Saccharomyces cerevisiae S288C: one gene and its partner. The protein of the gene in region 1 purifies or fractionates together with the protein of each later gene. This does not show direct contact. Each region holds a gene or a part of one and is shown in the gene's direction. Other genes may lie near its edges.

The links.
Region 2: the proteins of LSC1 (region 1) and LSC2 purify together in Saccharomyces cerevisiae (affinity purification with mass spectrometry; 4 studies listed by BioGRID). This does not show direct contact.

The regions. Positions count from the first base shown.
Region 1 is NC_001147.6:591,466-594,876, forward strand, and holds LSC1 (succinate--CoA ligase (GDP-forming) subunit alpha), read left to right. Parts: upstream 1-1,591; coding exon 1,592-2,581; downstream 2,582-3,411. Other genes in the region: ARP8 (Arp8p), read right to left, coding at 1-1,122. UniProt on the Saccharomyces cerevisiae protein: Succinyl-CoA synthetase functions in the citric acid cycle (TCA), coupling the hydrolysis of succinyl-CoA to the synthesis of ATP and thus represents the only step of substrate-level phosphorylation in the TCA.
Region 2 is NC_001139.9:977,292-981,007, reverse strand, and holds LSC2 (succinate--CoA ligase (GDP-forming) subunit beta), read left to right. Parts: upstream 1-1,688; coding exon 1,689-2,972; downstream 2,973-3,716. Other genes in the region: SDA1 (Sda1p), read left to right, coding at 1-1,243; MPC3 (mitochondrial pyruvate carrier), read right to left, coding at 3,232-3,672. UniProt on the Saccharomyces cerevisiae protein: Succinyl-CoA synthetase functions in the citric acid cycle (TCA), coupling the hydrolysis of succinyl-CoA to the synthesis of ATP and thus represents the only step of substrate-level phosphorylation in the TCA.

The DNA.
Region 1 (3,411 bases):
TATAGGAGATGGATCATTTTTCTCTGAAATAATCTCAGGTTTGGAATTTTCATTGAAAGATACTACCTGTTCGTGAGCATTACCTGGTACCTTTCTTTTATAATACCTCATACGTTCTCTAAAATTCTTTTCCATCTCCGACTTTATGTTGTTAAACTCTTCTGACTGTTCTCTTTGAAGGCAAACGTTTTCAACATGTTCACTATTTTCAAGATCCAGCCATTTTTTAGGTACCGCTACACAATTTGGAACTACGACAGGATGGTCATCTTTGGGAAATCCTATCTTTATAGAATTTGATCCAGGATGTATCACGATAGTTGCTGTTGGATCATTTAGATCTATCTCGTCATTAAGTGGTGCTGCACTCGCTTCTGAGTGGGGCAAACTCTTTAAATCTATAACATCTGGTGTGTTGGTACTAGATATTTGGCTAGTGTTGTTATTTCTCAAAAATTTTCTATCTCTAAGTGCAAATATTTGATCGTCTTTTTTCAGATAATCTGATGAGTAGTTTTTTTGGTTGATTAACATTAAAGGTTGGAACAGGCCAGTGGCAGGTAAAGTAGTTGTCTCCACTTTCTCAATGCCAATTTTTTTCAACGTCTTGGCAAATTCTTCAGCAGCTTTAATACGTCCTAGTCTCCTCTTCTCCAAAAGATGTAGCGGGACTTTCTTCCCGGGAGGTGCTTTTGCGGGATCTAGCTTCGGATATTTCTTATAACGTTTACTAGTCTGCACAGCAGGTGGTGCCCTCTTATCTCTAGAGCTCCCTAATTCATTTTCATTTTCGTTGGCATTATCATTATCATTTTCGTCCTCATTGTCAACATCATTGTCGTCTTCGTCTTCATCTTCGTCTTCCCCTTCTTCATCTTCATCTTCTTCGTCTGCAACGTCTCTTGGGTCAACAGAAAGACCTGTTACACTTCTGGGTGTCTCAGATCCAACTACGTTATCGACACTATCGTCTGACTCATTCTCCGCATTTTCTTGATCCGCCTGGCTGCTTAAAGGTACGCTATTTTCTTCTTCCAGTTCATCCTCATCGTCATCATCCTCTAACGGAATATCAATGGGTTCCTCATAAATAATACTGGATTCTGCTTCTTCTTGCGACATGTTAGGTGCGATTGTATCCCTGTATTTATGTACTATTGACTAGTAATTTACCTGAAAGTGTTTGCTACTTCGTGGGCGTTCATCATCTCCATTTATTCATATTGCCATTCTCAAATAAGTCATCTTGCACGGCCCAACCAGCGGCTGGATAACGGATCTACCCCAACCTCGGACCCAAAGTTGCTGCTATAAAAACAGAAACAAAAAAGGCGTTTCTCGAGACTGATATCCAGATGGTAATAGAGCCCTTAAGTGCTTTGCAATTGTCAATTAAGTATCCTTGTTCGAGAGTTGTTCACAGCACACTGCGTATATATAGGCTTACCACAGTTGGATTTAATCAAGCGATATAAAAGCTGGAAGGAGACAAGTTTCCCCTAATTGTTGTTCTGTTTGTTACTTACCACTCTATATACGTTCGATTTCATAGAAAATTTCTTTTGCAGACCATTTATTCTTCAGTTTGATAATGTTAAGATCTACCGTTTCAAAAGCTTCTCTCAAAATTTGTCGTCACTTTCACAGAGAATCTATTCCTTACGATAAGACGATCAAAAATTTGCTGCTTCCCAAGGACACCAAGGTGATCTTTCAGGGGTTCACAGGTAAACAAGGTACTTTTCATGCCAGCATCTCTCAAGAATATGGTACAAATGTTGTGGGTGGTACGAACCCAAAAAAGGCGGGTCAAACACATTTAGGCCAACCTGTCTTTGCCTCTGTGAAGGACGCGATTAAGGAGACTGGAGCCACTGCCAGTGCCATCTTTGTTCCTCCACCGATCGCAGCTGCTGCCATTAAAGAATCTATTGAAGCTGAAATTCCGTTAGCTGTATGTATCACTGAAGGTATTCCTCAACATGACATGTTATACATTGCAGAAATGTTGCAGACACAAGATAAAACAAGATTAGTTGGGCCCAACTGCCCTGGTATCATTAACCCAGCAACAAAGGTAAGAATTGGTATCCAGCCCCCAAAAATTTTTCAAGCTGGTAAAATCGGTATTATTTCCAGATCGGGAACTTTGACATACGAAGCTGTTCAGCAAACTACAAAAACTGACCTTGGTCAATCACTGGTTATTGGTATGGGTGGTGATGCTTTTCCCGGTACTGATTTTATTGACGCCTTGAAATTATTTCTAGAAGATGAAACTACAGAAGGTATTATTATGTTAGGTGAAATAGGTGGTAAGGCCGAAATCGAAGCTGCTCAATTTCTCAAAGAATACAACTTTAGCAGGAGTAAGCCGATGCCGGTGGCATCTTTCATCGCAGGAACTGTTGCTGGTCAAATGAAAGGTGTTAGAATGGGTCACTCCGGTGCAATTGTAGAAGGATCTGGAACTGATGCAGAATCCAAAAAACAAGCTTTGAGAGATGTTGGTGTTGCCGTCGTTGAATCTCCAGGTTACTTAGGTCAAGCTTTACTGGATCAATTTGCCAAATTTAAATGATTATATTAGGAAGAGAATGAACTGCTTTCAAAAGAGGAAGACTTCTATGTCTCGATTATTGCTTAGACAAGTATGGAGCTGACATCCGTTTTCTTTTCAGAGCTTTTACTCAACATTCTATGTTAATTTTTCCCTTTGTATATATTCATTTATCCTTATAAATTCTACTAAAAATCTTTTAATAGTGTTTGTATTTAATGTTCTTCTTAACAAGGGTATACATAAAGGTTGATTAAAGCTTAATAATTGAAATGGAAAAAAAAATAACAAAACGTCTGAATTTCCTAGTCTGTTTTGCAAAAACAGATGCGCAAGCCGGGAATCGAACCCGGGCCTCATGCTTGGGAAGCATAAATTCTAACCACTGAACCACTTGCGCGTTTCAATCAATTTGGGAAGACTCAGCACGTTATATACTATTAATGAAAAATTTCCTTCTTAGTAATGACACTGATAAATAGGTAAGTGTTGGAATTAAAATCAACTATCGTCTAACAACTAGTAGTCACACTACCAATATATTATCATACACGGTGTTAGACGATGACATAAGATATGAGAAACTGTCATCGAAGTTAGACGAAGCTGAAATGCAAGGATTGATAACGTAATAGGATAATAAAACATATAGAACAGAAGGAGAAATAATCATAGTATTATTATGTAGAAATATAGATTCCTTTTTGAGGACTCCTATATCCTCGAGGAGAACTACACATAATATTATATATAACCTTTGCCAAAAAAAGGAATGCCAAAAATTATCAAACTATTTGTTGGAATAAAAATCCACTATCGTCTATCAACTAATAGTTATATTATCAATATAT
Region 2 (3,716 bases), on another chromosome or scaffold:
AACGAAAAACAAATTTGACATGGAACAAAAAATATCTTTGATGCAGCTGTTATCAAGGTTGATTGGTACCCATAAGTTAATTGTTTTAGGAATTTATACTTTTTTTTTAAAGTACTTAACTCCGAAACAAAGAGATGTTACAAGAATTATGTCCGCATGTGCCCAAGCATGTCATGATCTTGTCCCTCCTGAAGTTATAAATGTCATGGTGAGAAAGATTGCAGACGAGTTTGTATCAGACGGTGTTGCCAATGAAGTCGCTGCTGCAGGCATTAATACCATTAGAGAAATATGCTCTCGTGCACCTTTGGCTATCGATGAGATTCTACTACAGGATCTGGTAGAATATAAGGGGTCTAAAGCTAAAGGTGTCAATATGGCTGCCAAGTCATTGATAGCGTTGTATAGAGACGTGGCACCAGAAATGCTAAAGAAGAAGGATCGTGGTAAGAATGCCGCCATGGAAGTACAAGAAGCCAAGAAAGGAGGTAAAGATTCAAAAAGACCGCAATTTGGTGCCGACAACAGTGTTCAAGGGATTGCTGGTATCGAACTGTTAGCCAAATGGAAGAAAGAACATGGTGAAGAGAGTGAAAATGAAGACGCTGATGCCAACTGGGAAGTAGATGTCGATAGCGAAGAAGACGATGTCGACGGTGAGTGGGTCACCATGGATAGTGATAAAGAATATGACGTTGATATGGAAGATAGTGACGATGAAAAAGACAATGCTAAGGGCAAGGAATCAGATTCCGATTTGGAACTAAGCGATGATGACGATGAAAAAGAAGTGAAGGATGAGCAAGAAGATGCAGATATAGATCCCGAAGCTGCCTTCCGTGAAATTGCTTCTACACGTATTTTAACTCCGGCAGATTTCGCTAAACTACAAGAATTGCGTAATGAGGAAAGCGTTGCTAAAATAATGGGTATCCACAAACAAGACAAGCGTGAAGAGTTAGTTGATGCAAGTACACTAACAGGCCCTATCAAATACAAACAGTCTCGTGAGGAAAGATTACAAAAGGTGTTGGAAGGTCGTGAAGGTAGAGACAAATTTGGTAGTAGACGCGGTAAGCGTGACAACATGCGTTCTACTACCAACAGAGAAAAAGAAAGAAGGAAGAACTTTGTTATGTCTATTCACAAGAGATCTGTTAGAGGTAAACAAAAAATGTCACTACGAGACAAGCAAAAAGTGTTACGTGCACACATCACCAAACAAAAGAAGAAGGGGTATTAGACGACATCGTAGCCATATTAATATATACATACATATACACAGATACATTCATCTCTCCAACTGTATGAGGACTTCTCTACCTTGAATGGAACACCAAAGCCAGGTAGATACTAAAAAAAACTCTTTTTATGTCTTGGTACAGAGAAAAATGCTCCAACTGGTATCGATTATGTGTTCATCGGGAATTCTCGGCTTTTCCCCGCAGCGGCGGAGTGAGTATTCTAAAAGTTGGTTGGCCTTTCAATTGCCGCGTAGTCAACATCTTTGAGGTTTTATATAAGATCGACGTTTTCCTTATCAGCACTTTGACGTTTTCTCTCGAAAAATAACAGTGACTATAGAGCGATAGTCCAGTTTTTTTGTAACTGACTTTTAGGTAGTTAGGATTAATAAGGATTGAGTCAATACAATCGAAAAAAATACTGAAGCATTGCAACTGAACAAAATGTACTCAAGAAAATCCTTATCCCTAATTTCAAAGTGTGGGCAATTAAGCAGGCTAAACGCGCAAGCTGCTTTACAAGCAAGGAGACACTTGTCAATTCATGAATACAGGTCAGCTCAGTTATTGAGGGAATACGGTATTGGTACTCCAGAAGGATTTCCAGCGTTCACTCCCGAAGAGGCTTTCGAAGCAGCCAAGAAATTAAACACTAACAAACTGGTCATCAAGGCGCAGGCATTGACCGGAGGTAGAGGTAAAGGTCACTTCGACACCGGTTACAAAAGCGGTGTTCACATGATCGAAAGTCCTCAGCAGGCAGAGGATGTTGCAAAAGAAATGCTCAATCATAACCTGATTACTAAACAGACGGGAATAGCGGGGAAGCCAGTATCTGCTGTATATATAGTGAAAAGAGTAGATACAAAGCATGAAGCTTATTTATCTATTCTAATGGACAGACAAACCAAGAAACCGATGATCATTGCGTCCAGTCAAGGTGGTATGAATATTGAAGAGGTGGCTGAGAGAACCCCAGATGCTATAAAGAAATTTTCAATTGAAACTTCAAAGGGATTGAGCCCACAAATGGCCAAGGATGTTGCCAAGAGTCTCGGTTTCAGTCCCGATGCACAAGACGAGGCAGCAAAAGCTGTTTCCAATTTGTATAAAATATTCATGGAAAGGGATGCTACACAAGTGGAGATTAACCCTTTGAGTGAAATTGAACATGATCCAACCCACAAAATCATGTGTACAGACGCCAAATTTGGGTTTGATGATAACGCATCATTCAGACAGGAAAAGATATATTCCTGGAGGGACTTATCACAAGAAGATCCTGATGAAGTTAAGGCAAAGAAGTATGATTTGAATTTTGTTAAGTTGAAGGGTAACATTGGATGTTTAGTCAATGGTGCTGGTTTGGCTATGGCTACTATGGATGTCATCAAATTAAATGGAGGCGATCCTGCGAACTTTTTGGATTGTGGTGGTGGTGCCACCCCTGAGACCATCAAACAAGGTTTCGAATTGATCTTATCCAATAAGAACGTAGATGCAATTTTCGTCAATATTTTCGGCGGTATCGTAAGATGTGACTATGTTGCCCTGGGGCTGGTAGAAGCCGCCAGAGAACTAGAAGTTAGGGTCCCCATTGTGGCACGTTTGCAAGGTACCAAAGTAGAAGAAGGCCGCGACATTATCAATAAGTCAGGCGTGAAGATTTATTCGTTTGATGAATTAGATCCTGCTGCTAAAAAGGTCGTTGAATTGACCCAAAATTAAGCTTCTCGAGAAAAACAAAAGAGTTAATAATAAAGTATATATGCTTTTTTACTATTAATAAAGTTTCTTATTTTCCCTACATGTATACATACATATAAATATACTCTTTTGGAAAAAATTTCTTTTTTTTTTTTTTAATTTTTTTATATTTTTCCATCTTTTGATGTAATATAGAGGTTATATAATGAAAGAATATATAAGAGGTCATAAAAAATCATTAAAAAAATGCGAGTTCAGGAACATATTATCGTTTACGTAATCAGTGCGTTATTGGCGGATTAGTACCGATCACACCTTTGTTCATCGATGTGGATGCAGTTTGCTTTGCTGCGACGGCTGCAGGAGTCTCCCCTTTTATTATGTAGTGAATAACCTGTTTAAAAGAATCACCGTTCCGTATCCTAAAGTTAGCAATTCTTGTTAGATGGTAGCCTGCAGTGCAACCCAGGAAAAAATTGACGGAAGCTAACAGATAGTTCTTGGGCTTGATGACAAACGACCAACGCGTCCAAATCAGTGCCGTCGCTAATAAAGATAAATTTTGTGCTCCTGATACCTTCTCAACAGGCCTCTTAATATCATTTAGCCCTGCGAAGACCAGCCCCCACTTCAAAGTTGGGGCCCAGAAGTGTACTGTTTTAGGGCCTGTTTCACTATTCCAAAATCTTCTAAAGGCAAAATTAAAAGCTGATGCTGACATTAAAAATATAGGTTTGTGTTTCTATGTGTCTTGAATGCTTATGC